Linked DNA regions of Arabidopsis thaliana. The protein of the gene in region 1 interacts with the protein of each later gene in a pairwise test. Each region holds a gene or a part of one and is shown in the gene's direction. Other genes may lie near its edges. The genes, in order: ABF4, CPK30, CDPK1 and DREB2A.

Region 1 (8,446 bases):
ACACCTTGTTACTACCAGAGATAAAAATCGGATCTTTAGTGAAATCTCTAGAATAAGTAACTGAATCCACTCTCTCTAACCACTCCTGGCATTTCTCTATTCCTGACCCAACTTTCAAATCGGACGACGACTTGGTGAAAAAATGGGTTAACGTATCGACCAAAGAAGCGTTATCGAGCCGACAGAGGAACCCGATCTCGATAATGACGACAAGAGCCACGCAGATTGGCAAAAAGGTCGAGACTTTACGCTTGAAAGAGGAAGGAGACGAAGAAGAAGAAGTAGAGCCATTGGCTACTACAGGCAATTCTTCATGGGTCAATCCAATTTTAGGACCTCGAAGATTGGAGAAAACACCCATTATCAAAGCGACGATTTTTTATCAATAATGAATGGATTTTAAGAATTGTGATTTGGGTTTTTATCGTTTGATACTTTGATTGATGAGAAAGAGGAAAAATTGGCAGATTTTCTACCTTTAGTTCTTATTTTATTTCATTTCATTAGGAAACTCACTGAAACATGAACTAAAAAAATACATTAACATATATGTCTCTTTCATCATTAGGCTCGGATTAAAACATTTAAACACTTCAAATCTCTAAGACAAAATCCTAAATGAGAGAATTTTACTTATCACAAGGAGAAGGTGTTGGAATAAGCTTGAAGATGACTTAAGCTATAAGTCATTAAGAGATTAGGATTAATAATTCTAGGAGTTATCTAGAATTATATTAGGAGTTATCTAAAGATTATTTGGTAGTTATCTAAATAATAGTCCTAATAGGTTTTGGATTTGGTTTATGAGATTCTTATATAAGGAGATGCTAAGTTGTGGCATAACTCATTGTGTTTAAGCATTGAGAGTTTGAGAGCTTAGGTTTTAAGGTATTTTCCTAAGTTAATAAAAGAGAGTTATTCTTTTATATTTTGAGTTCTTATTCACAATCTTATATCCTTAAATTCTATAGAAGGAACTAAGGAAGAGAAATGTATAGATCGTCATGGATGAGCATATACATGTAATTTTTGCCTCCTCTTAGAATTTTCTAATGACAACTCCAAAATAGAATGATTTCATATATTTTAAAAAAAAAAGAATGATGATGACTATTATTACTCTAGTTATAGCAATAAGCCAACACTATTCATCACAACATTTATTTTTAAAAATTTATCGACAAATTGATATCACACTATTATGAGACAAAACTAATACATCAAAATGCAAAGCTAACGATAGATATAAATAGTAGTTAATTAAAACTTGAAAATACAAAAATGACATTGTATTAATTGAATAATATAAAATATAGTGATGTAACTAACGTTCAAATTTCAAAGTACATAATCAATATGGAAACTAAAGATAAACAAAGTCGTCCTTTCAAACAAAATCCTTTCAGACTTTGGATCTGAATGATATGTAGCTCAAAGAATCAGAGGAAAAAGGCAAATAAAGCCAACGCAAAAGGTCCAAGCTAGAACAATGGATTCATGTCCGGGAAACCGTGGTAGTAGAAGACGTGGTGGTGGAGGACCACACATGACATAACTAGGGTTTTTCTTGTGAACTTTTTCTTCTCTAGCTTCACCGTAATATCTTGTTTTCGATGTTCTCTAAAACTAGCAAATCGTGTGTTTACACTACTCTTTCAAACTACTTTTCTCCATCTCTGACCCTTGAAGTCATAGCCATGTAATCTCTTTGCATTTTAGTAGAATACCCTGTAACAAGAAAAAATAATTATAGATAAAAACAACAACAAATAATCTTAACAAAACAAATGTTGATGCTTCAACGATTCGTCCTTTTTTAACACATTTTCTTGATTATATTTTGTGGCTAGAGGCCCTAGTCACAAATGCCCTCACCAACCCTTCAATCATTGAATATATACAAGCACAACCACATGCGATCATTTGGGATCTGAAATATTAATACAAACTAAGATCTCAATCATAAAAAAATAGAATGACTACAAATCTATTAGTTAATTAGGACAATTATTAAACATTTTTTCTATTCTCTATTTTATGTTTGAATCTTACTTTTTGCTAAAAAAATATTGCTCCATTGATATTTATAGTTTACTATAGTCTTGGTGATTTGTATGGATTTGTAAAAAGAGGTCAAGCGTTGATGGAGATGAACTCTACTTCTCACATCACTCGAGTCTTTTTAGATTAGTTTTTTTTTGATAAAAAGGAAACAAAGCCTAATTATGAATTAGCAAATACAACTACATCTCCATAGTCGTCCCTTGAATCTTGGTCGAACTCTGTAGCATCAAGGTTGAAATTAAACCTAAATGACAATCGTGTGTACGTGTATAAATATACATATAAGTGATGATTACATAAACTCATAGTCATATATGGGATCTATTATGGTTTTATGCTCACTCTATACGTCGGCCTAACGTGGCAAAAGTGGATATTTCTTTGAATATAAAATAGAAAAACAAAAAGCAAATAAGCAAACATTGCAATAATACCAAAAGAGGAATGAAAACATATTTCTGTATTTGGAAGTAATGATCTTAGACTCCACGCGACTGTGTTCTTTATTGTTTTGTTTCGAAGAGCGGTGTGATATTCTTATTGGCTTGCAACCAAAATGGGCTCCCAAAAAGAAAGCAAGCACCACCACTTCTTCTATCTGATGAGGGAACACTTTTAACATAAAAGTCACACAACCATAACATATATTCAAATTTCGGGTGATAACATAATGATAAAAATAGCACAACCCAATTAACTACATGTTTTGGTCATATTTTATTCATAGTTTATAGTTTTTTCTTTTTTTTTGGTAGGAGTAAAGAACACTGTCGCGTGGAGTCTAAGATCATTACTTCCAAATACAGAAATTTGGTTTCATTCCTCATTTGGTATTATTACAATGTTTGCTTATTTGCTTTTTTTCCTACTTTTTTTTTATAACATCTAGTTTATAGTTTTTGTTATATATTCAATCTATTTAGTGTCTAAACAATACTGATGATATCAAATGATTAAAAGGCTTTTGAACTGTAAAAATGACAAACAAATATCTATGATCTATGTCATAATTGAAAAAAAAAAGTTACCAATAAAGATTTTTTTTTATATAGGTAGTATTTCTTGGCTAATATGGACATGTATATAATTATATTTAGTCTTATCTATGTATGAAATTGGTTTGGATGTTGAAAAATGAATCATCCTTATCGTCAACCATTTTGGAAAGAGACAAATCTAGATTTTGATTTCTTTTTTTTTACAAATTAAAGATTTTATAATATATCACAATATTGTTGAAGATTACAATTGTGGCATATGTCAATTTGAAGATCAATTTGAATTTTTGATATACATCTAAAATAAGAAAACTAAAAGAACATAAGAAGTAATATATTTTTAAAAAATTGACCTAAAAACAAAGAATAATCATTATTATGATTTAACTCCAATGAGAAAACAATTCCAAGCACGATCTCCAACCACTCGAATCTTCACTGTCGGAAACAAACGGCCAATGTTTTACCACGTCGCATTCTTAATTGGATGTAAGTCTTTACAAGCACTTAAAACATTAAACTCTTTTTTCTCATTCGTCCACGTTTCTTTTTAAATTAATACTGTTAACAGATAATTATTCACAAAAAAATAATATCTGAAGAACAAAAAAAAAGGTTTCAGGGCCTTAAAATGGCTGCTCGTGTCGAGGCGGCAGCAACACACTTGTCGTCTCTCCCTGTAGCTTCTCTGGAGTTTTCGCAGTCACGAATCTTGTTTTGAAGAAATTAATTTGGTAAAACATATTTTCGAGCTCCTTTCTCTTTTATTATCCGTTTTCTGACTTCTGGATCTGTCTTTGTCGGATCATCCAATTTTTTTGTTGTCTTTCCTCTGTTTCGTTTATGAATCATGATGATGTACATGTTGTAACTGAAGTAACTTTTGGTTATCAAATTAGAGTTAAAGAGAGAATTTTTACGAGATATTTGTTATAAATTTATCGATTTGATTCTTGTTGCTATTAGGGTTTTGTCTATTTGATTCGATCGGGTTTTTTTTAAGAGAAATGGGTTGTGGAATCTGGAATAGATCCTTCTCATGCTTGTTGGGTTTTGCTGATTTTCTCGTTTTTGGTTTTATGAGTAAACTCTGTATCTGGTGTGAATTCGTTTTCCATCAAAAAAAGTCATCAAATTACGTTTTTTTATAAACATTATCCAAAGATCTGACCTTTATTGATTGACTTTACTGTGCTTTTACATTTGTTCGCACGCATTTATGTGGTTTGTCCAGTTTCACTTTAGTATTCTTTCTCTTATATGGATGTGAACATGCATTAGTGACACATAGTTCACTCCTTTTTATTTTCCTCGGAAGTTCTCTTTTTCATGGATTCTTAGCATTATGTAATATACACTCTAACTGCTTTACTTTGATTTTAGAACAAGGGTTTTAGGGCTTGGATGCTTTGTTTTCATTGAAAAAGAAGTAGAAGGAGTGTATACAAGGATTATGGGAACTCACATCAATTTCAACAACTTAGGAGGTGGTGGTCATCCTGGAGGGGAAGGGAGTAGTAACCAGATGAAGCCAACGGGTAGTGTCATGCCCTTGGCTAGGCAGTCCTCGGTCTACTCCCTTACCTTTGATGAGTTACAGAACACACTAGGTGGACCGGGAAAAGATTTCGGGTCGATGAACATGGATGAACTCCTGAAGAGCATATGGACTGCTGAGGAAGCTCAGGCCATGGCCATGACTTCTGCGCCAGCTGCTACAGCGGTAGCGCAACCTGGTGCTGGTATCCCACCCCCAGGTGGGAATCTCCAGAGGCAAGGTTCGTTGACGTTGCCTAGAACAATTAGTCAGAAGACTGTTGATGAGGTGTGGAAATGTTTGATCACCAAGGATGGTAATATGGAAGGTAGCAGCGGAGGCGGTGGTGAGTCGAATGTGCCTCCTGGAAGGCAACAGACTTTAGGGGAAATGACACTTGAAGAATTTCTGTTCCGTGCTGGGGTTGTAAGAGAAGATAACTGTGTTCAACAGATGGGTCAGGTCAACGGAAACAATAACAATGGGTTTTATGGTAACAGCACTGCTGCTGGCGGCTTAGGTTTTGGATTTGGTCAGCCAAATCAAAACAGCATAACATTCAATGGTACTAATGATTCTATGATCTTGAATCAGCCACCTGGTTTAGGGCTCAAAATGGGTGGAACAATGCAGCAGCAACAACAACAACAGCAGTTGCTTCAGCAGCAACAACAGCAGATGCAGCAGCTGAATCAGCCTCATCCACAGCAGCGGCTGCCTCAAACCATTTTTCCTAAACAAGCAAACGTAGCATTTTCTGCGCCTGTGAATATAACCAACAAGGGTTTTGCTGGGGCTGCAAATAATTCTATCAACAATAATAATGGATTAGCTAGTTACGGAGGAACCGGGGTCACTGTTGCAGCAACTTCTCCAGGAACAAGCAGCGCAGAAAATAATTCTTTATCACCAGTTCCGTATGTGCTTAATCGAGGACGAAGAAGCAATACAGGTCTAGAGAAGGTTATCGAGAGGAGGCAAAGGAGAATGATCAAGAATCGGGAATCAGCTGCTAGATCAAGAGCTCGAAAGCAGGTGAATATAAATCTAACTAAACTTATCTAGTCCCTTTTGTTTGGTTTGACTATTATGGTCTTATATTTTGCAAGACTGCATTAAACAGAAACATAAAACCAGCAAAGATATCTTCTATCCCGAACCACTTCTTGTATTATGAAAGATGCTTTATCTTCCATGTTTTTTAACTATCCACTAATTACAGGCTTATACATTGGAACTGGAAGCCGAAATTGAAAAGCTCAAGAAAACGAATCAAGAACTGCAGAAAAAACAGGTTTCTTTCTGTTTACAACCTCTCTGTGTGTTTTCTGTTTTCCCCTATCAGACTTTTAGAACTTGGCTCTGATCCTAGCTTCCCCTGTATTGCAGGCTGAAATGGTGGAAATGCAGAAGAATGAGGTAATTGTTTAAGAACTTTTCTTTTCATTGAGTTCATTCTGAAACCCTTGACCATACTTGATTAGGACCAACATCAGCAGCAAAAGACTAAACTTAAGTTGTAGCTCTGATAGTGTATGTTGGTCCTTATCAAGTATGTCCCCAACTGAAGCTCAAACCTGAGATAGCTTTCGAACATTTCGTGGTCTTGCTTCGTTTTGAATAGCCTTTTTGATTGTGTTGTTCACTAGTATTCTTTTCAAAATTAGCAGCTGAAAGAAACGTCGAAGCGACCGTGGGGCAGCAAAAGGCAATGCTTGAGAAGGACATTAACCGGACCATGGTGAAGGATGAAGCAACAAGAACGGATGAACCAGACTCCTAGCTTGGGATTAATGTAATAGGATAGTGCTACCTGTACAGGAGATTAAGAGAAATTGAGTGAAAGATCTAGGTTACAGAGTAGGAGAGAGTTTTCATTATGAATAAATGACATTTTGTGCCCTGACCTTTGTTAGTTTAGGTTTAGATTATCCTCTGTTATTGACTTATTGTGCTTTCTGGTTGTTAGGGTTTCTAAAAGACATAGTTGTTTATATATATGTCTGACTTTGTATTCCGGATTTGGTTCTCTTGTGTCATTAACTTGGGTTTAGCCATTATTACTTAAGAGTGGCAACGAAATCATTCTTGACTCTGGTTGGAAAACATATGTCATCTTTCAAAACTGCAATTAGAAAACAGTTAGGATGATCCTAAGTGACAAATTTCTAGAAAAAATGTGACTAATTTGTCTCTGCTCACTCAAAAAGAGAGACCATTTGGTGGAGAGTGAGGGGAGCCAGTCTCAAGCAGAAAACTCCGGCTACAATGCGACCTTGAAGTAGTACTAGAGGAAGAAGCCAAGCCACGGATGTCTCCACTTTGGAACCCTGAGTCACCTCTCAGTGACCGTCCTTTGTTCTCTTCAACTGCCATTGCAAGCCCGAGATGCAACGGATCACAGCTTTCGTACAACAGCCTCAGAACTTGCTTGATTGATGGCCTAGCCACGCCTTCTTTCTCTGTGCACCATCTTACAACTGCCACTACTGTTTCAAGCTGTTCTCCATCTATGCAGTCTTTGATTCTCGGATCCACCAGATCTATGCGTCTTGATTCTGATACCAGCAAAGGCTGAGACAGTTCTACCAGGTTCCTACCTTCATCAACCGCTCTTTTCCCAGTTATGATCTCTAGCAACACCACTCCGTAGCTGTACACGTCGCTTTTCTCTGTTAGTTCATGTGTTACAACGTACTCTGGATCTACATAGCCTGAAATTCAGATTTCATGGTTTTAGATTTTGCTCAATATTTCAAGAGTAGTTAATTCCTTAGTATCCTGACCTGGAGTTCCGCGGATATCAGTATTAACAGGTTCAAAACAAATGGAGCCATCTCTAGAAGCATGTGCAAGGCCAAAATCTGCAAGCTGCACCACATAACCCCACACCCACAGGTCAATTCTTTAAGAGGTAAAACGAATTGATAAGTCAGTGACCAGTTGATGTGAAAGGATGCAGACGCACCTTAGCAACAAAGTGCTCGTCGAGTAATATATTGCTTGACTTAATGTCTCTGTGACAGAGGGGAGGGTCACAGTAGAAGTGAAGGTATTCCTGCAGGAAAGGAAGCATATCCAGTTAAGAACTAAGAACAGTAATAATAATATAAACCATAGACTAGAGTATCAGTTTTATGGAAATTTACCAGAGCATTAGCCACATCAATTGCGATTTTCATCCTTGATTCCCAACTTAGTGGAGATTTTTCCGTGGCTGCAGAGAGGAATAACAACGTTCAAGATTCTTAGTCAAGTCTAAAACAGAGGAATGCAATCTGAAAATCATGAGCATACAGTGTAGATGATCCTTCAGGCTCCCATTTTCCATATACTCGTAGACAAGGAACCTGTAATTCTCAGGTTAGATGAGCAAAGGGCAATCCACACAAATGGGGAGAAACGAAATGAAGGTCAACCGTAATCATTCACCTCTCGTTCTTCTTATTACAAAACCCTTTCAAAGCAACTAGGTGGCGGTGATGCAGCCTGGCGAGAAGCTCTATCTCTCTGCAAAATTCATCTTCAGCTTGTTCAGAGCTCTTGTTCATCTTTTTTACAGCTGCAACCAACCCATTACTGAACTCAGCTTTGTAAACAGTCCCAAAGCCCCCACGGCCAATCACCGCGTTGAAATCTTCAGTTGCTTTCCTTATCTCCTTGTAGCTGAATTTCCGAAAACCAAACGAATTACCTGAAAAATCAAAACCACACATTTGTTTTACATGGTCTAACATCCCTTGTTAGTGTACCATCAGAAGAACTCTTCACCTTCATGAATCATCGACCTTGGGCGGGGAGAAGGAGATGTCCTTGTTAGATTACAAGCGATGCTCTTGGAGTCATC
Region 2 (8,120 bases), on another chromosome or scaffold:
AACAGAAGAGAAAAGAGGAGAAACCCAGAAATCAATGACATTTATTGCTAAGAAAGAAGCAAAATTTCAATCGGAAAAGTAAAGAACAGAAGCGAGATCACAAGACTACGAAGTCACCTTAAAAACGGTGGTGTTTGACTTCCTTCGTCTGCTTCGTTTTCCCCAGACAACAGAAAAAAGAAATCTTCAGGAGGAAATGAGAAAGAAAAGGAGAGACAGAAGGCGAAATTGCCTTCTCCCTCTGTGGCCGTCAAATATGGAAGCTTCAAAGTTTGTTTTGCTCTCCAAGCAAATTGGGTACTACTAGCTCCAAAGGTCACGACTTTTTTTTTTTTGCTTTTACTCTCTTCTTTTTTTCTTTTCAATAAATGTTTTCCTTTAACATACTTACCTTTTTTCAACTATACCCCTAAATCTTTGTATTTATGAAATAACATCACCCATAAATGTTTTTTCCTTTTATGAATTAGGCAACTCTAAATTGTATCTGATCGATTCGATTACGATACCTTCATAATTTTCAGTATATTCTTTAAATATAATATTAGCAGTGTTTTATATTGAAGAATTTCAGAATTTCTTATTTAAATCGCTTTTCCCGGTTAACAATGTGGTGTCGAATTACTATTTTTAAAGTTAGTGATTGAATTTGGGAATAAAAAGAATATTTGGATTTAGCTGTAAAAACCTTTTTTTGAACTTTTCGTCTTTTATTACTTTGTTCCCCTTTTGAGCAAACGTTTCGGTTCTGTCCTCCTCAAGTTTCTCTGTACTACTTTGAATATGACTGTTTTGTGACTTTCATTTCCTTTACTATTTTAGAGTTTAGAGAGAGATTTTGTGGGTATGATTCGATCCGAACTAAATTTCCGTGGCCTCTTTAATTTAGATTTTAGAACGGCTCCTTTTCTTTAAGATAGATTTTATAAACTTTTAATCCAAAAGAAATATAAAAAATCTGAAAAAATCTAAAAATGTGAAAGCACAACAAAGTTTTAAATAATATTTTGAAAAAGATACTTTTATGCCATTGTATTTGTGCATTTATGTTCTCCTTTGCAAGTGTATTCTCTTTAAGCTAAGAAAAATATATTGGGCTTTCCTATCAGTTATCTTATGAGCCCATTTCAAACTTTGTTTTTCAAGCCCAAATAGCTGCTGTATAAAAGACATTTGCTCGTTATATGATCCTAGTAGCTTCGACAAACTCATACTACAGCTTAATCTGAAACCCCATAGAATCTTAAACTAACCCTAAAGTATTCACTCCCAAACCTCATCATTTACTATAAGTGTGCAACATATGGAAAACAAACTTAGTCAGAGACATACTACAATCATTGAAATTAATGAATTTCAGATTCCAAAATGTAAATAAAACGGACCTGTGTCACTTGATCCATGCCAAATCACTTGCTGTCATTTTCTTGTTCTTCATAACACTAAAAGTTAGACTGAAACATGACTAATCTAGAAACTTATTGAGTTTCCTTATTACTTGAAAAGTTTTAAAAGAGATATGGATGGTAAACAAACCATCCCGCCGGTATATCACTATTCAAAGCCTAAGGCATGGATGATGGATTCATTCATTTCTTTTCTTTTTTTTTGAATTTAAGATTCATTCATATAAAAATATTAATTATCCCATAAAGTATATATAGTTTTAGGCTGTAGATAACAGTTTTATGCAAGAAAAGTGATGGGACTTGAATAAATCGAATAGTTGGCATGACAACGCCACATACACATGCAATCTCAAACATTCTAGTTGAGCCCATCATTTCATACACAATCTCATGTTTTTTCCTTCATCGACGAAAGTCCCTTTTTCCGAATAATAATTTTTCGTATTGTTAGTTTCTTTTTAAATCCTTTTTGCCAGCTAAAAAGTTGCACAAGATAAAACATGGTCCATCATTTCCTCTCTTTTTTTTTTAGGTGTGAAAATCAATCTCATCCATACTAATCTATTTGTAATTGATTTATCTTTTTTTATGGAATTTTATGTCTTAATAATTTATAACATATTACTATATGCATAAACATAACAAAGTTCGAGTAAAATATAACCAAGTTTTAAAACTTGGGGCTTATATAGCTAGTTTTCTCTAATGTATTGATTTACAAAGACTCGCTTTTTTTATTTTTTGCATGACTTTCAACGTTTCACACTCTTTTTGCCAATTGCACTAATTGTTGGTTGAAAGTATAACCGGGAAATAAATAAAAGACCTTCTTTTTTACCTACTGATATCAATTTGATGAGTGACATAAAGTGATAAAACAAAAATATTTATATTCATATGCACAAATTTTATCGTTTAGACGATGTACATGATGATCAAAAAGAGTTTCGGTTTCGAACTTCCAATTAGTTGTTGATAGGATGTGAATGTAAACCCGATTTATAGAAAGCAAACGAATAAGATCACGACATGGCGACACACTTGTCAATTAGTTTCGAATATAAAAATGAGAAATATATGAGAGAAAACAACAAGACGATCGCATTTGTTTGCATTTTTGTTGACTTTGATCAATGGAATCTTCATATATTAGTTTTGATTACTATTTTTTTACACAAAACAAAGTCCGATAGTAAGCTGACTCCTTTACATTGATAAAGTCTACACCTAATAATATCTCATATCTTAGATACAAATTTGATAGCTTTTGAAATTATCTTCACCAAATCTTTTGGTAGAAACTTTCAAATCACACATAAACTACTAGGGTTTTTTTTTGTTAAGAAAATCCAATGCCAGTTTTTATCTTGAATTTGACAACCCAAAGTTATTTATTTTCATACGAAAAATTAATGAAGACATTTTCCACTCGATAAATCTGTAAATATACATATGTATGTATATTGGTAAGAAACCAGTTTTTAAATATTGTATTTAAGAAACCAAATAGCAAAAAAAAAAATTGTAGATTCAGGTAGTTTAGGTAATGCTATAGACATATAATATAAGACAAGAAGACAATAATAATTACTGAATTGAAAACAAAACAAAATATTTTGGTGATACCAAATCAAATGAAACCAACGTCACACTTTTTGACAATGTCACCGTATCCACTTCTACGGTCAACAACTTCATCAAACTCTCCCCTTCCACGTAAGCTACATCTCTACCCTTCATTTTACCACCTATCAACAGATCTAAGGCTATAATTTTTTTAATAGTTATTTTAATTACTTACTCTTTTAGTTACAACACCAGAGACTAAAACTTGTTCTGTAATAATAATACAATTAATTAACTGTTAATCACTGAAAATATTTTACAATTTTTTATAAATTATAGGTTAGAAAATGGCTCAAAATTACAGTTTCTATGTAATTAATTTGTTTAAGTATATAGGGGAGATAGATCAAGTCGCTTTAACTTATTTTCTTTTTGATATAAATAAAAAAAATTATAATCATTTTGATCAATTTTACGAAAAGGTCGAAACTTTCTTCAGCTGAACCCGTGTTTCCTCTTCTCTGCAACTCACCGGTTCGCCGGAAAACTCTACGCCGTCGCCGGATTTTGCACCAACGAAAACTTCTTTAAACTACTTTCTTCATTATTCTTCTGCTGAGTTTCAAAAACTCAGCCATGGGTAATTGTATCGCCTGCGTCAAGTTTGACCCAGACAACTCAAAACCAAACCAGAAGAAGAAACCTCCACGGGGACGGCAACGAAACCCATACGACGATCCCGATGGTTTAAGAACTCACGCACCGTTACGTGTGATTCCTATGAGCCATCAATCTCAGATCAGCGACAAGTACATCTTAGGACGAGAACTCGGTCGCGGCGAATTCGGAATCACGTATCTTTGTACAGATAGAGAGACTCGTGAAGCTTTAGCTTGCAAATCAATCTCCAAGAGAAAGCTCCGAACCGCCGTCGATGTGGAAGACGTCCGTCGTGAAGTCACGATCATGTCAACTTTACCGGAACACCCAAACGTTGTGAAACTTAAAGCGACTTATGAGGATAACGAGAACGTGCATCTTGTGATGGAGCTTTGTGAAGGAGGTGAGCTTTTTGATCGGATTGTTGCCAGAGGACATTATACAGAGCGTGCGGCGGCTACCGTCGCGAGAACGATCGCGGAGGTTGTGAGGATGTGTCATGTCAATGGTGTTATGCATAGAGATTTGAAGCCTGAGAATTTCTTGTTTGCTAACAAGAAGGAGAATTCTGCACTTAAGGCTATTGATTTTGGTTTATCTGTTCTCTTTAAACCTGGTAATTTCCATAAAAATGGAATCTTTTTGCTAAATTTAGAATCTTTGATCTCCATTTTGCTTTCAGGTCACATTGGTTAAGAGTTGACAATTGTGTTACTTTGAATCTGCTTATGAATTTAACTTAAAAGAGAGATTTTGATGCATTTTGCAGGAGAGAGGTTTACAGAGATTGTTGGAAGTCCTTATTATATGGCTCCAGAAGTGTTGAAGAGAAATTATGGACCAGAGGTTGATGTGTGGAGTGCTGGAGTTATCCTCTACATCTTGCTTTGTGGTGTTCCTCCGTTTTGGGCAGGTTAAAGAAAGATTTGATTCTTGTTTGAAGTTGTATATGCTGATTGAGAGTAACTGAGTGATTCAAGGTTTTGATTGCAGAGACTGAACAAGGTGTGGCTCTTGCCATCTTGAGGGGAGTTCTTGATTTTAAGAGAGATCCTTGGTCGCAGATATCAGAGAGCGCAAAGAGCCTTGTGAAGCAGATGTTGGAACCTGATTCAACTAAGCGTTTGACTGCTCAGCAAGTTCTTGGTAATAATGCTGTTCTTGTGTCACTTGTGAATTTTGATCTTCTTTGCTACTTGTTTCTTGTGTTGGATTTGAGATGGAGAAAATGGCATTTAAAGTGAAAACGGTTTCTGTTTCCTTCTTTGCAGATCACCCTTGGATACAGAATGCAAAGAAAGCTCCAAATGTTCCTTTAGGGGATATTGTTAGGTCAAGGTTGAAGCAATTCTCCATGATGAATAGATTGAAAAAGAAAGCTCTGCGTGTAAGTGTTGCCTCTCATTTTTTTCAGATGAGTTTATACTTTTGTTTGGAGCTTTGATTGGTTTAACTTACTTGCTCCCTTTTGATGCTTCCAGGTTATCGCCGAACACTTGTCTATTCAAGAAGTTGAAGTGATCAGAAACATGTTTACGCTGATGGATGATGACAACGACGGTAAAATATCATATCTAGAACTCAGAGCTGGACTCCGGAAAGTCGGTTCACAACTGGGTGAACCAGAGATCAAATTGTTAATGGAAGTGGTAAATGTTTTACCAAATACCATTTCCTTATGAGGATTTTTCTTGATCAAACGATGTTTATCTTCTCTGGTACTTACATTCATGATTTTGATGCAGGCGGATGTTAATGGAAATGGATGCTTGGACTATGGAGAGTTTGTAGCAGTGATAATTCACTTGCAGAAGATGGAGAATGATGAGCATTTCAGACAAGCTTTTATGTTCTTTGACAAAGATGGAAGTGGATACATCGAATCAGAAGAACTACGTGAAGCTTTAACCGACGAGTTAGGTGAACCAGACAACAGTGTTATAATCGATATAATGCGTGAAGTCGACACTGACAAGGTTTTTCTAAAGCTCTATACATCAGCTCCTTTCTCGCTATAAAGACTCTTCCTATAGAAAGTTTATTAAATACTTAAGAGGAGTCATAATGTTTGATTTTGCAGGACGGAAAAATAAACTATGATGAGTTTGTGGTGATGATGAAAGCTGGAACTGATTGGAGAAAGGCATCAAGACAATACTCAAGAGAGAGGTTTAAAAGCTTAAGCTTAAACTTGATGAAAGACGGGTCAATGCATCTACACGACGCACTCACTGGACAATCTATTGCAGTTTGATCTTTACACTTGTTTATCACCAAAACAGAAGCAATCTGATGGCTGCTTTTCTTACACGTTCATGAAGGGTTTTTTTCTGGGCTTTTTTCAGATGTGATTTTGGCTTACTTCACTTTGTTTCTAGAGATTCTTTTTTTTGGTTTTGGGGAAGTTGGAAATTTGTAATTTGTGGGCGTAGTTAGGCTTTTCACTGGAGAATGAATGAATGTGTATGTAATATTTGTTTAATTATTATAAAGCTTCTTTCTATCACTCAGCTTATGTCTTGGACTAACCATAAACAACTGAACCATACAGCTATAAATCAGCAACTGACAAAAATCAATTGGACAAGACATGGGTTTATGTTCGGTTTACAGAGAAAGAATCAGTCAGCTTCTTGAAGTCCATCCAAAACAACAGAACCAACCAACAAAACAACCCCTGTAAGCGCAAGAGCACCGGCCAAAACCGCCTGAGCAACCACTAGAGTAGTTGAGTCATCCGGGATCAACACCACGGCTACAATAGCAGCCGTGAGAGCTGGTAATGCAGCCGAGGCTAAGACCGCAGGCGATGTTCCAGCTAAGTTCTCAAGGAGACTGAGAAGACCAAGGTCCTCTGCTTTGGAGAAGACTTTAAGCTTCTCAAGAGATGACAATGTGAGTCCCAACCCCTCTGCTTTTGACAGCAGGCCAGATTTCTCAACGTTGCTCAACACTTTTCGCTTCTCCAGCTTCTTGAAAACATCAACGTTTATTTGCTCACTCCCTTCGAAAAACAATCCAGCTCCGTACCATTGTTTCTTCCACTTGGCATCATATTTGTTCACCTTTTGTTACCCGATTCAGTGATCACAATTACACAAATTAAAAAGTATATATAAAACTCTGCAACAATACTATATACAGAGACTTCAATGTCTTTGTTCCATTACTAAAATGTACTGCTTATTCATGTTTCTAAAGATTATCTTGAGAATCAAAAAAGATTTATACTTTATGAAGTGATTGATGAAAGTGCAAAAGATCTCAGAACTTAAACAAAGGAGATGATTAAGAGAGTTAGTTACCTTTTTCTGGGGAGCCATAGCTACGACGGAGAAAGTTGCTGGTGATTTTCCGGTGGAGAAAGACCGGCGAAAGCGGGGGAGAATGGGATTGGAGAGAAATTGTGTCTGCAGCTGAGCCGCCGGAGACGATATTGGAGCGCCGACGACAGCCATTGAAGAAAAATCGAAGCGAAGCGATGAAAATGATTTCTTTAGAGATTCTTTCGTGTCTTGTTTCGCCGTTGGCACACTATCTGAAACTCTGATAGACAGAGAAACTGCCACGTCAGATGATGTCTTTGTGATTTCAACCAATCATTTTCGTTAGCGCTTTATCTCCGGTTTTTCACTTAGAATTTATATAATCAGACAATGTTTACATGTAATAGTTTAGGCGTAAACAAAATAAGTTAAATGAGGAATTAGTAAATCATTTTAGATTACAGAGAAAACTACAGAGATACCAAAAGCAAATCTGTGGTCAAAAAACTTTACTGACAAGTTTTGCTTCCTTTTTCACCTCTCAAATCTGAAATCTCTCTCGTTTCCTTCAAAATATTACAGGTCTCAAAGCTCATGCCATCTGATTATAGTTTCCGACAGAATCTGAATAATAAAATGAAGAATCATAATAATATGATAAAATTCTTAACCCATAATGAATCTTTTTATTCTATTTCCTCCTCAGCCCAAGAAACTGTTGGATACTCAAAAACACCTAACATTTACTATCTTGACATCTTTCTCTCCTTAGATGAGTCGATCGGACAAGCTTGGCAACCGCCGGAAAAAATTGAGACTAGCCGTAGGCATTGTGTCTCGGAACATCGGATGCCGAAGATAATAAAACCCTAGAGCCACCGCCACCATTTTCGCAGGAACTGCATACAGAACTATTGTGATTACCAAACAGATTGCTATGAACAGCTTTGTCGCTCTCGGATCTCTCCAGCTAACCAACGCTTGAATCCGTTCTCCTTGCGCTGCAAAATCTCCTAGAATGGTCTGAACCCTCACTGCTAAGATCCTTAATCGGTCGTACCTAGCTCGGATTACTTCTGGTCGCCTTGAGCTTGGTATGGTGTCGAATTCTTCATCTAGCTCATCAGGATCGACGGTTTCAGCTTGTGATAAGCGGATATCCATACCAGCCGGTATCTTGGGTCTAAACCGGTAGTACCAAACTCCGATCATCACCACG
Region 3 (8,808 bases), on another chromosome or scaffold:
GAGCAAATGTTTATACTTTCTCTGCTTCCCACATTAGAACATTCAATTCTAACCAAATGCTCAAAATTTCGATTTTGTCACCATAAGAATCCTTTTTCGACATCTGATTCACATTAGAATCTACTTGATCACATTCGAATCTCACTACCGGTCATCAAAAGTTTTTTAATTTACAAAGTTGAGCTAAAGTCTCGAGAAACGCGTTAAACCCAGAAACCCATCTCGGCATTATTCCCATCGTAATGGAAACGCAAAAAACGAAAAACAGAAATCGTCGTGCACTGATTAAGATTAGTAACAAAGGTGAGATTTTAAGCAGGATCAATAGAACACAAAAGTCACCTGAAAAACGGTGGCGTTAACTTGTTAGGTTATGATTATTGATGTCCCTGCAGAATTCTCCAGGTGATATTGAAAATAAATAGAGAGAGAGACGAGTTCGTCTTCTTCCTCACGTTGTCGTCGAAATTGAGAGAAGAAGCGTTCTTCTACTCTCCTCCAAGCATATTTGGTCACACACACGGAGGCTGCTGCCAATTCAAGGTCTCAACTTTTTTTTTTGCTCTCCTTTTATATTTTCACTTCATTTCTCTTACCTAAACTTTCAAATATACCCCTCATCTTTAATTAGTTTCCAAATAACACCTAATAGTCTTATTCTTACAAGAATTCTCCCCATTCTTAATAGTTTTTTTTATTCCCCTTTCATAACTTCTTTCTCTCAATTAGCCAGTAAATATTTCTATTTTGTTTGATACATGATAAATTCGAAGTATTTTTTGTGGTTTTAAAAAGGATTATGTGTTTTATGGAGTTATAGAAGAATATATGGCTTTGACTAAAAAGAAGAAGAAATTGAGCTTCTTTTTGTTATTTTCCACTTTGGTTAGTTCTTAATTGCAACGTAGAAGCCTTGCCCTCCCCAAGTTTCGCAAGTCTTCAACAAAAATGTTCCGCAAGTCTTCGCTATTACACGTGGCGTTGCTTTCATGTCTTGCCCGTGACTGTCCTGTTACTCTAGTGGTCAGAGAAAGTTTCTTTTTCAGTTGTATTTTGACTATTCAGATTTTGGTGGTAAGTTGAGAAACGAGAACTTTTAGCGGAATAAGCATTATATGATTAAAAAAACTCTATAATCAAAGAAGAATAATTGTCTTGTAGAGTTTGCTAATCCTCTTCTCCAAGCAAGGTGCAAAGTCTCCTCTGCATACTAGGCTTAGTTCAATACATCTTTCAATCTAGTTAGGCCCATTAGCCCGTTATGTTTACAAAGTTAAAAGCCCACTTACTTGAGAAAATTCACAGATGCACACATGCATTAGATTATGTACTGCAATCTGAAAATGCATGATGAGAGGTCTCATACACAAAACAAAATCAAAAACAATTTAGAAAAATATTAGAGTAACTTATAAAGACTGTTACAGCTGAAACTAAAATACTAATAAATTCGACTTCTGGCAATAATTAAGGATTACATCTCTTTTGTTTAGAGTATAATTGAACTTTTGGAGCTGTAATATAATTTGTATGTATGATTTATGAAAAGTGATTGAACTTATACATAGATGGAAAAGTTGGCGTAACAACATGCATGATACATACAGAACACATGCAGCCACAGCATTTGAATAGAACACATCATCACAATTCCCAAACATAATCATTCTCTTCAGCAAAAAGACACACTCTTTCCAAATATAATTGTCACTTTTACTGTTTTAAATTTTAAGTTATGCCAGCTTTAAAGTTGCCGACGACAAAAGCATGTCCATCGTTTCTTTCTTCTTCGGAAGATTAATCAGAGGATTTAAAATAATCTAAATTCGAGATTATGTTGTATAAATATCCATTTTGAAACTTGAATGAACAAAAAACCGATAAAGTTTTCCACGAATAAGTTGTTGGTGTTTTTAGTAGGTTCATAGATAGGAGGGTGGAAGGTCTCTAGTTGGGCAATAAATTGAAACCGCTTTTTTCTGACCTACCAAATATTAATTTGATCGAATCATTGAAAAAAATACATATATAAAATTATCCATATAAAAACTATGTAGTTTGCTTTAAAATATTTCATCGTATGCAATGATATATGCATACTTAATCCACCACATGTCCCTTGAAACAAAAGCACTTAAGCTCTGTGTGGTTGACATTAAATCACACATTTCATTTTGTTAAAATTAAAGTCTAAAATTTTATTCATGGTAGTACATCCATCATCAAAGACCATTTTCATTGAACAAAATAAAGTTTCAATCTCTAATCCTTTGTGAAAATTCTTACTACTATATATTAATTAGGTCTTTTGGAATATAGACGCGCAACACACATTTTCTTATATATGGATTGAATGGTATCCAAATCCCCAAGGTAATGTAATGTAAAACCAAGATAAAGAAAACGAGTATGACATTGACAATTGAACTTGTAGCGAAGTCAGGATAGGACGACTTGCGGTTTCTACTTTCTAAGCCAAAGAAACATAGTTTTCATTGATTTTTAGTGTTTTTAAATTTGTTGTTGACTTCCATTAATGGAATATTTCGTACTTTGCTTCTTCTTTTCGAATTTTATTTACCTATATAACTTTGCTTTATTTTCTACAACACAATAAGTATTGCTCATAATTGAGGAAGTCTATACACACAATATTTTCCTATCCTTTCTTTTTTTCTGTCGGGAATTTCTTCATATCCTAGCATCTAGATTATGATTGTACACATACAAAAACAGAAAAGAACTAGACTTCAAAATAATGCAAATTAGAAACAAAAAATTGCTCCAAAAAAAATATATTCAAAACTATAAATAAAATATTATTATGATTTTTCTTCTATTTTACGTACATTGTATATCTCTAGAGAAGAAAATAATTTTTAAAAAATAGTTTGGGATCAACGTCGCACTTATTGTTTTGTCTTACAATCTCAGAGTCTCACCGTATCCACCACGCTGGTCAACAACTTCAACAAAACTCTCTTCCTCGAACTTCAATCTTATCCCTTCATTTCATTACCATTAATTCACACCAACGGCTAACATTGTCCTCCTCGCTAAACTGTTAATTATACGTTTGGCCGTAATGTTTTGAAGTCTGCCTATATTTCTTTTCAATAAATGCTCTTTTAATTAGGTTTTAATTTGGTGAAATCCAACCTTTAAATTTTCTGATGCTGTTAAATCTAAGAGTTTGAATTTTCTAAAATCATTGTTGTCGGTTATCATTTGTACATCTTGATAGAACTATAATATGATCAATATAAACTTATAATAATAATAACTGAAAATACAAATGATTTTGTTTGTTTGTTTATAAAACCACTGAAAAATGCAAGAGTTAATCCACTGAGTTCAACCAAAAAATAAAGAAGTGAATTCTATTAGTCATAAGCTTGGACCAAAAAATCCATCTAGAAGAAAAAAAAAATTGAAAAAAAATTACAAGTTTCTAAGAAGATGGTGCAATGGTTAGAAAAATCTCTCAAGTTATTAAATGCATCATAAACTAATACTGTATATTACTATACACAAAAATCAAAGACTCCCTTTTTTTTAATTGAATCAAACAAAATCCGAAATTTCGAAAGGTCCGACTTTTCCTCACCTGAACCCGCGTTTTCTCTCCCCCTCCCAACCCAACTCTCCAATTCGCCGGAAAATCACCGCCACCGTCACTTCCGGCGTCCATATGAACTAAAGAGATAAGCTTTTTTCTTCTATAATCCTTCTTCTTCTTCTTCCTTGATCTCCTTTCTCTGAGTTTGCTGAGTTTCTTAACTCAGCCATGGGTAACTGTAACGCCTGTGTAAGGCCAGACTCAAAAGAATCAAAACCATCTTCAAAGCCGAAAAAACCCAATCGAGATCGGAAATTAAACCCATTCGCCGGAGATTTCACCAGATCCCCAGCTCCAATACGTGTTCTCAAAGATGTAATCCCTATGAGCAATCAAACTCAGATCAGCGACAAATACATCTTAGGTCGTGAATTAGGTCGAGGCGAATTCGGAATCACTTACCTCTGTACTGATCGTGAAACCCACGAAGCTTTAGCTTGCAAATCGATTTCAAAGCGAAAGCTTCGAACAGCTGTCGATATCGAAGACGTTCGTCGTGAGGTAGCGATTATGTCTACTTTACCTGAGCATCCAAACGTAGTTAAGCTTAAGGCTAGTTATGAGGATAACGAGAACGTGCATCTGGTTATGGAGCTTTGTGAAGGAGGTGAGCTTTTTGATCGGATTGTTGCTAGAGGACATTACACGGAGCGTGCTGCTGCAGCTGTTGCGAGAACGATTGCTGAGGTTGTGATGATGTGTCACTCTAATGGAGTTATGCATCGAGATTTGAAACCTGAGAATTTCTTGTTTGCTAATAAAAAGGAGAATTCTCCACTAAAGGCTATTGATTTTGGCTTGTCTGTGTTCTTCAAACCTGGTAAAGATTCAATTTTTAGTGTTTCTTAACTCAGTGGATGGTTCTATTTTTAGACTATCCTGCCATATCTTCATGTTTATGGAAGTTTGTGTAGATATCTGAGATTGGGTAAATAACGTTTTCTTTATTGTAGGAGATAAGTTTACAGAGATTGTAGGAAGTCCGTATTATATGGCTCCAGAAGTGTTGAAGAGAGATTATGGACCAGGGGTTGATGTGTGGAGTGCCGGAGTTATTATCTATATCTTGCTCTGTGGTGTTCCTCCGTTTTGGGCTGGTTAGCTTCTTCTTTTAATTATTTTAGCAGCTGTGTAATTGTTCACCTATGTTGATTAGATAAACCGATAAGATTGTGGTTTCTATTGACAGAGACTGAACAAGGTGTTGCTCTTGCGATCTTGCGGGGAGTTCTTGATTTTAAGAGAGACCCTTGGCCTCAGATATCAGAGAGTGCCAAGAGCCTTGTGAAGCAGATGTTGGATCCTGATCCGACTAAGCGGTTAACTGCTCAGCAAGTGTTAGGTGAAGTTCTTGTGTTTCTGTTTTCTTTAATGGTCGTAGTTACCTTAATCCACTCTATTACTAATGATTTTCTTTTTCTCACCTTTCAGCTCACCCATGGATACAGAATGCAAAGAAAGCTCCCAATGTTCCTTTAGGAGATATAGTCAGATCTAGGTTGAAGCAGTTCTCTATGATGAACAGATTCAAAAAGAAAGTTCTTCGTGTAAGTGTTTTTTTTTTGCCTTTTACTTTTCTGCTGAAGTTTGTAGAGAGTCTGTTGTGTGTGTCTATATTTGGTTTTGATCATTATCATCCCTGTTAATGCTTCCAGGTAATTGCGGAGCACTTGTCTATTCAAGAGGTTGAAGTGATAAAGAACATGTTCTCACTGATGGATGATGACAAGGATGGTAAAATAACTTACCCGGAACTCAAAGCTGGGCTTCAGAAGGTCGGTTCACAACTTGGTGAACCAGAGATCAAAATGTTGATGGAAGTGGTAATTTAAGCATTGCCCTTATCTGATTAAAGACCAATTCAGTGTTCTTCTCTGATAAACATAGCTGAAATCTGTATGGCTTTGACGCGCAGGCGGATGTCGATGGAAATGGGTTTCTGGATTATGGAGAGTTTGTAGCTGTGATAATTCACTTGCAGAAGATAGAGAATGATGAACTTTTCAAACTAGCTTTTATGTTTTTCGACAAAGATGGAAGTACATACATTGAACTTGATGAGCTACGGGAAGCTTTAGCGGATGAGTTAGGCGAGCCAGACGCCAGTGTTCTAAGCGACATCATGCGTGAAGTTGACACTGACAAGGTTCTTTCAAATATCCAAAAAAATCCTCCTTTAAGGCCTAACAATAAAGCTTGTCAAGAGAAAAGATATATCCCTCTGCTTCTGAGTCGGATTGTTGGGCTTGTTTGCTTTTTACAGGACGGACGTATAAACTATGATGAGTTTGTGACGATGATGAAAGCTGGAACTGACTGGAGAAAGGCATCGAGACAATATTCAAGAGAGAGGTTCAAAAGCTTAAGCATTAACTTGATGAAAGATGGGTCATTGCATCTCCATGACGCTCTCACTGGACAAACTGTTCCTGTTTAAATTTATTCGTTATCACCAAAAACAGAGCAATGCTCCGTTTTTTCCCCATTTCATAAATTGGGAATTTTCCGGGCTTGTTCTTTGAGGGATGGGAATTTTACGGAAGCTATGGTTCTTTACATATATAAACATTTTACATTGTATTTTGTATGTAATGTTTTGTTCAAAGGTTGTATTTTTATTGTCTCAAAGCCCCTAAACCAAAGAGTCAAAGGAAAGATCTTTATTACACTGACACCTTATCAAACTCAGCAGAAGTCTTGTCCATGTCCTTGTCCTTGGCCACAACATCTTTGTAACGGTACCAATGTGAGACCAACAAGAAATAGGCCAAGTTTAGAGTCATCATACCAGCAACCAAGAAGTAGAAATACTCCAATCTTCCCTTGTTTAAATCTTCCGGAAGCCAACTTCCTCCTGAAAATCCCTCTGTGGTATCGTGTACCGCCGATAACAAAAAGGTGCTGAGGTAACTCGCCAATCCGATTCCACAATAATACAGAGAACCAGCAAAACTTCGCATGTTCTCTGGAAACTGTTTGTAGTAAAACTCCATTTGTCCAACTCCAGCGAGGGCGTCCGCGATACCCATTAGCACTAGCTGAGGAATCAACCACATACCGGACATCGAAGAGATTGCGCCTTTTCTTGGGGCCAACCCTAGCGTCGGTTTTGTGAGAGCTACCTTTCTTCTGTATTGTTCTACAATTGCAGACACCATCATACTTGTGATGCATAGAAACAGTCCTGCTCCAACTCTCTGCAGTTGTGTGATACCGCCGTCTCTGCCTGTATACTTTCTAAGGAAAGGTACAAGGACGCGGTCATAGATAGGTATGAATATCGTCATTCCAAGCATTAGGAAGACGGTATAAGAACCGGCCGGGATCTGGAAACTTCCTGGACCAAGGCGTCTATCGGATTGAAGAGACTGAAAGATTGTGTAGGTTGTTTGTTGAATGTAAGCTAGGTAGAATAAGGCGGCCGAGAGCCAAACCGGAAGCACCCGGATCACGCATTTAACTTCCTCCACTTGTTGCATACTGCAGAGTTTCCATGCATCCACCGGCGACCCATCTTTGTTCAGCTTGTCGTCTTGTGTTTGGATTGCCGATTTGTCAAGAAACCTGCAAATTAAGAAAACCCTAAAATGTTTCTAAGTTGTTCCACAAGAAACTAAGAGAAGTAGTGAGGTTATTAGTACCTGAACTGCTCTGTATGGCCCAATTTCGAGTTCTTGAAATCACTGGCGATGTAGTTGTAAAGCTCGTTAGGCCCAACGGGCTTTAACCGCCTCTTCTTGATCGCGACAACAATGACACGAGTTATGCTGTGAATGGGACTGCCACTAGCTTTAACCTTGACATAGAGCTTAGAACCAGCGAAGAATATGATGCAACCAAGTAGCATTAGAATAGCTGGGATGGCTAAACCAATGCTCCAGCTCACGTTTGACTGAACATAGACGATGAGGGTTAACGACACCATCTGAGCAAACGTGAAGGTGAAGAAATACCAATTGAAGAAACTCTCAATCCCTCGTTTCCCTTCTTTTGTCTTCGGATCGAACTGATCAGCACCAAATGGAAGATTGCATGGCCTAATCCCACCGGCTCCGATCACCAGCAAAACCATTGCTCCGGCGAGAAACATGATTTGTCCGATGGATGGCCCATTGCACACGCTTCCTATTTCCTTAGCGCATTGAGCTGGATGCAGGGGATGAATCACAGCCGTTAGATCCATTGCCACCGAACCCTTTGCATCAAACACAACAAACGATTGAAACTTTCAGACATAATCAGCTAGTTTTTTTTCAAACTGAAAATTGTGATGAATAGGTTTTAGAATTTACGAGAAAGCAAGCGATCATGGCGAAAGATAGGGTCTTGTAGCGGCCAAAGTAGGAGTCACAGAGGAAAGCAGCGACGATGGTGCCAAAGTTGCTTGTGCCACCGTAGATGTTGACGACTTTCGCAGCCGTGATGCTCTTCATGTTGAAAACCGTCGTTAAGTATATAACCAGATTCGATGAACTTCCAACAATCCCCAATTTTTCAAATGTCTCATTTCCTACCAAATTAAGAAACAGAGCATTAAGTTACTCTGTTCATAAAATCCTCTGTTTTCTCTATCAGTTTCTTGTTCGTTTCAAGACCAAAAATGTTATAATAAATAAAAATAAAAAACATGAAAGAAACAGATCCATAAAAAAAGTCCTATGTTTTAATTTTATGAATCAAATGTTTTTTTTGTCAATGAATCAAATGTTTCATAAATAATAATAAAAACATACTAAAAGAGCACGAAATTAATAAATATTCTTATATTTTTGTTTATTTATTTCTAATAAATATTTTTATTTATTTACAAGTATAAAGTCCTCATGTTTTTCCATCAGTTTTTTGTTCGTTTCAAGATTATGAGTGTAAGTAAACAAAAATCATAATTTTGAAACGAACAAGAAACTGATGAAAAAAACATGATGACTTTATACTTGTAAGCAAACAAAAGTATTTATCAAAAAAAAAAAATATATATATATATATATAAGAAAGAATATGGATGAATAAATACCAATGATGAAGGGCATGACTTTCCATCCTCTGTAGATGATCTTAGACTCATCATCCTCTGCAATGTTCTTCTCTGTCTTCTCAACCTCCATTGTTATGTTTTTCTCTATGCTCTGCTCTGCTTTCTCTAAGTGTGTGTAATGTGTTAGTATATGTGTGTGTGTATATATATATTA
Region 4 (7,076 bases), on another chromosome or scaffold:
TACCCCCATTTTCCCGCAAACTTCATTAGAACGACTTGTGAATGCTATTTTACTTCCATTTCTTTTAGGAACCGGAATTCCAATGTTTGCTAAATCCACCTTCGTCCACATATCATCCAACAATAGCATATACTTCTTATTCTCTAAAGACCTCTTTATGGTTGATGCTATCTCATTTTCTGTTTTTTGTTCCCATCCCTCGTTGTAGAGATCTAGTCTTTTTCCAATGTCTTCTTGAATCCTCTTAACAGTTGGGTTTTTAGACACTACAACCCATATTGCAATGTCAAAATCGTTGCTTACTGTGCGGAACTTGTTGTTGATTTGAGAGAGGAGGGTGGTCTTGCCTACTCCCCCCATACCATATATACCCAAAAGCCCAACTCCCACTTCCATCATACTATTCCATGTTGATTCAACAATTGCCTCTTGACCAACTATCTCCTGGTGGAAAAGCCTTTCCTCCACCTTTGGTATAGGACCTTTTTGAGCAACTTCATCAAAAACGCCTTTAGATAGAAGATTCTCAACATCTTGCAACTTGTTGATTACACTTTTACTATAGTCGTAGCTATATTTACATCTCTTAGAACAATATTGGCCACAACATAAATTATCTATTTCTTCATCGCTTTGCGAGAGGATATCATGGGCTTCACATACCCTACTTTCGACCTCAGAAAGCCATTGTTGGACTTCATCCAATAGGTTTAGACCTCTATCTTCTTGTACCTTAATCCTTTTCAACAAATCATCTCGTCTTGCCTCCAACTGTCGTACAGTTTTCTTTAGAGCCGCTACATGATCTACGAGGTTGCGGAAGCGATTTTGGTTCCTGCTAAGGCAGCTTGTAAGGTTATTAACAGCCTGGTCACAGGATATTGCCACAGAGAAGCAGGCTCCCATCTCTCATAGATTCTCAAATTCCTACCAGAGAGATTAATATACAAATTCCTTTCCTAATGTTTTAGTTTATTAACTGAGGTGTGTGCACGATCATTCGGGTTGACCACCAATCTTGGCATCCAGTCATCTACGACTCGATCAAATATTTATGTTATTTTAAAAATGAACTGTAACCAAGATAACATTTTTTTCATAAGGTCAACGACCCTTGGGATGTTAACAGAGCCAAGTTTAGTGAGCACTATGTGCTCGTTTTTTCTTAACACAATTCTAACGTGGTTTGGCCAAGCCAAGTCAACATTTTACTTACATCTCGTTTTCCAATAATGGTTTTGTAATCGATAACCTAAATCATTGTAATGAATGCGTTCCTCCCTATCGATCCTAGGCCTTAGACAATGCTGAATGATTCATAGCCACGCGAATAACCTATTCATACTAATATGGAAAGAAAGAAGCCAAACTTACAGAGCTCTTCTCACGGTCGTCGAAGAAAAGAGAGTCTACAGTCAGCAACAAAATTAGTGTTGCCATCATGGCATCATCTTGCAGCTTTTTCCGCACAAATAATTTATCATCCAAATGTTGTTCACTAAACCAAAAACAAACAAGCATTACAGCGAAGAAACCAACTCGTAGATACAGATTTCCAAATTCATGCCTTATTTAGACCAATAAAAACTGAAATTTCTCTTCAGCGAAAAAAAAAACAAACAAACTGAAATTTCATATAGATCCAGAAGATAGAAACTTGTAGGCTCAATCGACTAGACTAGAAGATGCTCACCCGATCGTGCTTGAGATAGCGAGATAGTAGCAACACCGACGGTAGAAATAAAATGGACGACACCCATCCAATGGGCTAATTTAGATTAACGGGCTTTAAGGGTTTGATAATGGATGTTAATTAACTGAGGCACATGGGATTGTATCACGTAGGCAATGGGTTTGATAATGGATGTTAAGTAACTAAGGCCCATGAGGTTGAAGTACGTAGGCAATTGCGTGAGCTTACGTTAGCGATGCCGTTAGAGACACGTAGTGGATGAAGTGGCTTTGGTTAGCAAAGGACACATGAGGCACATGCAAAGGCTATAAATGACTGCTGCTTTGCTACAACTTGCGATTCCCAAATTTTATAAGGTAATGGACCCTATCACCTCTGCTCGAAGCTAAGCCACCCAAGTTTGAGCTTCACCATTTGACACGTCTCTAGCTAATACTTAATGCTTAAACTTTAAACTAATACTTCATGTTTAAGACATTTCTGGCTGACACATTTATGAATTCGCTCTATGTCGTACGTACACCGGAAACCTTTAATTTTACAATATTAACCGTGATCTTTTTAAAAATATCTATATAAACGATAAGTATCTCATCAAAACAAAATTGAATAATGTGCACGTTTGTAAAAACTAGAAAAACAGGCAATAAACATCATCATCCAATTACACATCTAGTAAGTGTGATGCAGTGGCAAACTGGCAATAAACCAAGAAAAATCGAGAAAGAGCAGATGAGACAGTGTTGTGTTGTCAGGGTTAATAAAAAAAAAATGAAGATATTTTAAAATTTCATAATATTTAAATAATGAAGTAGTTTTATGATCTTATCCATAAATCAATTTTAAAAAGGTTTAAACTTTACTTTTCCGTATCAACAGCGTGTTTCGAGAAGATTCGGGAGGACACTCGTCGAACGGAAAAGTCGTCTAAGCCTTTATGTTCGAATCAAAAACTGACACGTAACCTTGCTCTCAAACAGAAAAATAAAATAATGTTAGAAAAATCTAGAGAAGGCTATAAATACTCCGTAGATACTTTGTCTTCCTTAGATATTTTGATTTCTGCTAAAGCTGTCTGATAAAAAGAAGAGGAAAACTCGAAAAAGCTACACACAAGAAGAAGAAGAAAAGATACGAGCAAGAAGACTAAACACGAAAGCGATTTATCAACTCGAAGGAAGAGACTTTGATTTTCAAATTTCGTCCCCTATAGGTACGTTGATTTCTGATTTCTTACAAATTTTCAATTAATTTCTCTGATTAGGTCTCGTCAATTGGTGATTCTAGGGTTTATCTTCGTCTTTAGGTTTTCGATTATTTCCTTTTAGGTATAGCTGTGAAATTGGGAAATTTTAGGTGTTCCTAATTTGATAACAAATAAGTAAATCGATCTGATTTTGAACCAAGTTTAAGTTCTCTTGCCTTATGTTTCAGCTTGTGTTCTGATATTGAAGTGTTGTTGTATTGTAGATTGTGTTGTTTCTGGGAAGGAGATGGCAGTTTATGATCAGAGTGGAGATAGAAACAGAACACAAATTGATACATCGAGGAAAAGGAAATCTAGAAGTAGAGGTGACGGTACTACTGTGGCTGAGAGATTAAAGAGATGGAAAGAGTATAACGAGACCGTAGAAGAAGTTTCTACCAAGAAGAGGAAAGTACCTGCGAAAGGGTCGAAGAAGGGTTGTATGAAAGGTAAAGGAGGACCAGAGAATAGCCGATGTAGTTTCAGAGGAGTTAGGCAAAGGATTTGGGGTAAATGGGTTGCTGAGATCAGAGAGCCTAATCGAGGTAGCAGGCTTTGGCTTGGTACTTTCCCTACTGCTCAAGAAGCTGCTTCTGCTTATGATGAGGCTGCTAAAGCTATGTATGGTCCTTTGGCTCGTCTTAATTTCCCTCGGTCTGATGCGTCTGAGGTTACGAGTACCTCAAGTCAGTCTGAGGTGTGTACTGTTGAGACTCCTGGTTGTGTTCATGTGAAAACAGAGGATCCAGATTGTGAATCTAAACCCTTCTCCGGTGGAGTGGAGCCGATGTATTGTCTGGAGAATGGTGCGGAAGAGATGAAGAGAGGTGTTAAAGCGGATAAGCATTGGCTGAGCGAGTTTGAACATAACTATTGGAGTGATATTCTGAAAGAGAAAGAGAAACAGAAGGAGCAAGGGATTGTAGAAACCTGTCAGCAACAACAGCAGGATTCGCTATCTGTTGCAGACTATGGTTGGCCCAATGATGTGGATCAGAGTCACTTGGATTCTTCAGACATGTTTGATGTCGATGAGCTTCTACGTGACCTAAATGGCGACGATGTGTTTGCAGGCTTAAATCAGGACCGGTACCCGGGGAACAGTGTTGCCAACGGTTCATACAGGCCCGAGAGTCAACAAAGTGGTTTTGATCCGCTACAAAGCCTCAACTACGGAATACCTCCGTTTCAGCTCGAGGGAAAGGATGGTAATGGATTCTTCGACGACTTGAGTTACTTGGATCTGGAGAACTAAACAAAACAATATGAAGCTTTTTGGATTTGATATTTGCCTTAATCCCACAACGACTGTTGATTCTCTATCCGAGTTTTAGTGATATAGAGAACTACAGAACACGTTTTTTCTTGTTATAAAGGTGAACTGTATATATCGAAACAGTGATATGACAATAGAGAAGACAACTATAGTTTGTTAGTCTGCTTCTCTTAAGTTGTTCTTTAGATATGTTTTATGTTTTGTAACAACAGGAATGAATAATACACACTTGTGAAGCTTTATGGGCCTTAGTGTGTCTCACAATATTTGAAATCGTAAGAGGAAAAACTATACGATCTCCACAAAAAAACTCATCATTGGATTGAGTCTTAGGAAGTTCTCTAGGGATTAGAGGGCAGCTTTATTTAACATTAAGCAGCTCGACATCAAAGACCAGCCAAGAGTCAGGGGGAATGCTACCAGCACCTTCCGCACCATACCTGTGAGCCAGACAATTTTATCATCTCTCATTAAAAAAAGCTTAAAATAAAACATCACATTATGGAAAAATAAAAAAAGATTTGCAAAGGCTTTACCCCATTTCTGGAGGAATTGTAAGCTTTCTTTTGCCACCAACAAGCATTCCTTTAGAAATTTACAAAAAGAGATCAAAACAACACACCATTTGACCATATTTAGTGAAGAAAAACCAGTAAGAAACTAGCTAGGTTACCATTAAGGCCAACATCCAATCCCTTAATGACTTTTCCAGCATCTGTATGTGTAACAGCAAGCACATAAGTATCCAAGTACCACTCACACATTAATAAAGCTCTTACTTTCGCATCAAGTTATAATACCAACCTAGACGAAACTTATAACGTGATTTTCCAACGGTGGAATCGAAAATCTTCCCATTCCCCTGAAGCTTTCCAGTATAATGGACACTTACCTGCACTCAGAGACAATAGACTGACCTCCAACAAATATTTGCACACAAACTACAACAGTTTAGGACTAAATGCTCATACCCTTTTGCCAGGCTCAGCTTTCTTGCCGTTGGGGTTTCCCATGCATAACTCTTCAACAATGAGGCCATCTAGGTCAGGCGTTTGCTTCTCAACACTAATAGAAAAGGCTTTACTCTCCACTGTAGCTTCCTCACTTATCTTCTCATTCTTCTTAGCAGATTCAGATGGGGACATGGAGCTTTCACTCCTGCAATAATATCAAAAGAAAAAAGCATAGAAATTTATAAGATGGGAAAGAATTTGAAAGAACCATTTACTTGTGAGCTAATAATATCGAATACCAATAACAAATGTACTAACTGATATATCCCAAATGACATGACTACTTTTGATTACCCCAAAAAGAACAAAGTACTTAAGGCAGAAGAATGGACTGAAGTCAAGTAGCCAAAGGAAACCTCAAGCTGACTTCTATTCATTGTTTTGAAAAGAGTATGCCGGAGGATCTTATATATGAAGGAATTTAGTTAAAACCATTTCAATAAGAAAAGCTAAATTTTACAGTAATATTTGAATTGTGGTTATAGGATACAAAAGTGACTGGAGAAGGATAGAAAAGTTAATTTACCTGCTTTTTGGAATGGCTGCATCCATGGCAGAAGGATCTTGGAGAGGAGGAATAGGTTTACTGAAATTGACGCGGCGGCGAATGAGGCGTATAGGTATTTCCGGTTTGGCAGTCACCCAATACAGCTAATTTGCGTCCTCGCATGTAGCTCCCATTAAGTTGAGTCACGGTATCAGCTACGTCTTTTCCGTGAACAACAGCTCTAACTGAGCTGAAAAATGATCAACAAAATACACAAGTCTCTAGTCGTTAAAGAGTAATAATTTTAAATAAATTGAAAGTTGGGTAACATGGGAGAAAGAAGCCTCAAACCTCTCTTTGACAAAATGGAGGCGTATGATATTTCCATATGGAGAGAAAAGTTTAACCAAAGCCCTCGAGATTTGACTCTTCCTAAGCGAAGTATCATATCCTTCAACTCTTACAATAACCTTACTGCAGTAATAGGATATTGCCGGAGATGATAAACATTATTATTATCAACAAATCTTATTTTTTTAAGAAATCAGTGTTTACTCGTTTGCGTGTGCCGGATACGGATAAGCCTCAACAGAGACATTCCATCCTCCCACGTTAACTTGAGCTGATGAGTTGGAAAGAAATGGAGGAGGAAGAAGCCACCAAAACCTGTTGAGAATCGTATTAGTCTCATCAAATTTTAAGGGAATATAAATCTCCCAGATCTCTCCACATGAAGAGAAATGTTCTGCCAACGCCGTGTAGAGATCATCAAGCGGAAGACCAGTGTCATATCCCGTAACCTTAATCCTCCCAACGTCACTGCAATAATAATAATACTATCAACGTGACATCTGAAAACATGCATCACCTTACACATACCAAATTCTCAATTTACCTCAGTTTTGGAATGTTATTCCGTTTCGCTCCCTAAAAAGTACAGGAGATCAAATCAGAAACACTTGCACTGCTAACTAACTTGCAAGTACTTTTCTTACAAACTTGTGAAGAAACCATCAATTGAGAAACAAAGATAAGAAACCAGAGTGAATCAGAAAAGCCATAAGAGTAGAGTACCATGGTGGATGAGAACATGGCTAAAATTTGTTCGACAAGAGCGAGACTCGATAACCCTTTTAACAGATTTAATTTAGGTCTGAAGAGGGCATTTATAGTTGTTTTTTTCTTTTTATTTTGGGCCTTGAATTAGTTAGCCCCATATGGTTCCTATTAAGTATCTTAGAGCATCTCCAACGGGAGAAAAATGGAGCTCTCATGACAGTCTCTCTAAATTATTGTGGAAAAAAATAAATCATAAAGGTTTAATACTGAGAGAATCGTTTCTCTTAAGAGAGATTTTGGAG

The links.
Region 2: the proteins of ABF4 (region 1) and CPK30 interact in a two-hybrid assay, tested with the Arabidopsis thaliana proteins (one study listed by BioGRID).
Region 3: the proteins of ABF4 (region 1) and CDPK1 interact in a two-hybrid assay, tested with the Arabidopsis thaliana proteins (one study listed by BioGRID).
Region 4: the proteins of ABF4 (region 1) and DREB2A interact in a two-hybrid assay, tested with the Arabidopsis thaliana proteins (one study listed by BioGRID).

Annotation. Positions count from the first base shown.
Region 1 is NC_003074.8:6,683,441-6,691,886, forward strand, and holds ABF4 (ABRE binding factor 4), read left to right. Parts: upstream 1-3,601; 5' UTR 3,602-3,796; exon of another isoform or gene 3,797-4,445; 5' UTR 4,446-4,515; coding exon 4,516-5,634; intron 5,635-5,722; coding exon of another isoform or gene 5,723-5,767; intron 5,768-5,821; coding exon 5,822-5,893; intron 5,894-5,988; coding exon 5,989-6,018; coding exon of another isoform or gene 6,019-6,030; exon of another isoform or gene 6,031-6,266; coding exon 6,267-6,344; 3' UTR 6,345-6,683; downstream 6,684-8,446. Other genes in the region: FUT11 (fucosyltransferase 11), read right to left, coding at 5-361; AT3G19300 (Protein kinase superfamily protein), read right to left, coding at 6,802-7,313, 7,386-7,470, 7,568-7,657, 7,749-7,816, 7,897-7,949, 8,032-8,293, 8,371-8,446. UniProt on the Arabidopsis thaliana protein: Functions as a transcriptional activator in the ABA-inducible expression of LTI65/RD29B (AC Q04980). Binds specifically to the ABA-responsive element (ABRE) of the LTI65/RD29B (AC Q04980) gene promoter.
Region 2 is NC_003070.9:28,077,968-28,086,087, reverse strand, and holds CPK30 (calcium-dependent protein kinase 30), read left to right. Parts: upstream 1-3,416; 5' UTR 3,417-3,611; coding exon 3,612-4,251; intron 4,252-4,404; coding exon 4,405-4,548; intron 4,549-4,628; coding exon 4,629-4,781; intron 4,782-4,906; coding exon 4,907-5,022; intron 5,023-5,116; coding exon 5,117-5,284; intron 5,285-5,380; coding exon 5,381-5,611; intron 5,612-5,715; coding exon 5,716-5,889; 3' UTR 5,890-6,142; downstream 6,143-8,120. Other genes in the region: AT1G74730 (transmembrane protein, putative (DUF1118)), read right to left, coding at 6,257-6,700, 6,941-7,093; QKY (C2 calcium/lipid-binding plant phosphoribosyltransferase family protein), read right to left, coding at 7,670-8,120.
Region 3 is NC_003070.9:6,520,716-6,529,523, reverse strand, and holds CDPK1 (calcium-dependent protein kinase 1), read left to right. Parts: upstream 1-3,448; 5' UTR 3,449-3,787; coding exon 3,788-4,439; intron 4,440-4,572; coding exon 4,573-4,716; intron 4,717-4,808; coding exon 4,809-4,961; intron 4,962-5,050; coding exon 5,051-5,166; intron 5,167-5,274; coding exon 5,275-5,442; intron 5,443-5,534; coding exon 5,535-5,765; intron 5,766-5,882; coding exon 5,883-6,056; 3' UTR 6,057-6,282; downstream 6,283-8,808. Other genes in the region: NRT1.9 (Major facilitator superfamily protein), read right to left, coding at 6,283-7,183, 7,261-7,814, 7,912-8,129, 8,634-8,724. UniProt on the Arabidopsis thaliana protein: May play a role in signal transduction pathways that involve calcium as a second messenger. May be a positive regulator controlling stress signal transduction.
Region 4 is NC_003076.8:1,599,464-1,606,539, forward strand, and holds DREB2A (DRE-binding protein 2A), read left to right. Parts: upstream 1-2,741; 5' UTR 2,742-2,906; intron 2,907-3,163; 5' UTR 3,164-3,186; coding exon 3,187-4,194; 3' UTR 4,195-4,576; downstream 4,577-7,076. Other genes in the region: AT5G05400 (LRR and NB-ARC domains-containing disease resistance protein), read right to left, coding at 1-906; AT5G05420 (FKBP-like peptidyl-prolyl cis-trans isomerase family protein), read right to left, coding at 4,577-4,655, 4,752-4,800, 4,889-4,930, 5,020-5,107, 5,187-5,360; AT5G05430 (RNA-binding protein), read right to left, coding at 5,812-5,965, 6,067-6,189, 6,271-6,534, 6,611-6,642, 6,790-6,807. UniProt on the Arabidopsis thaliana protein: Transcriptional activator that binds specifically to the DNA sequence 5'-[AG]CCGAC-3'. Binding to the C-repeat/DRE element mediates high salinity- and dehydration-inducible transcription.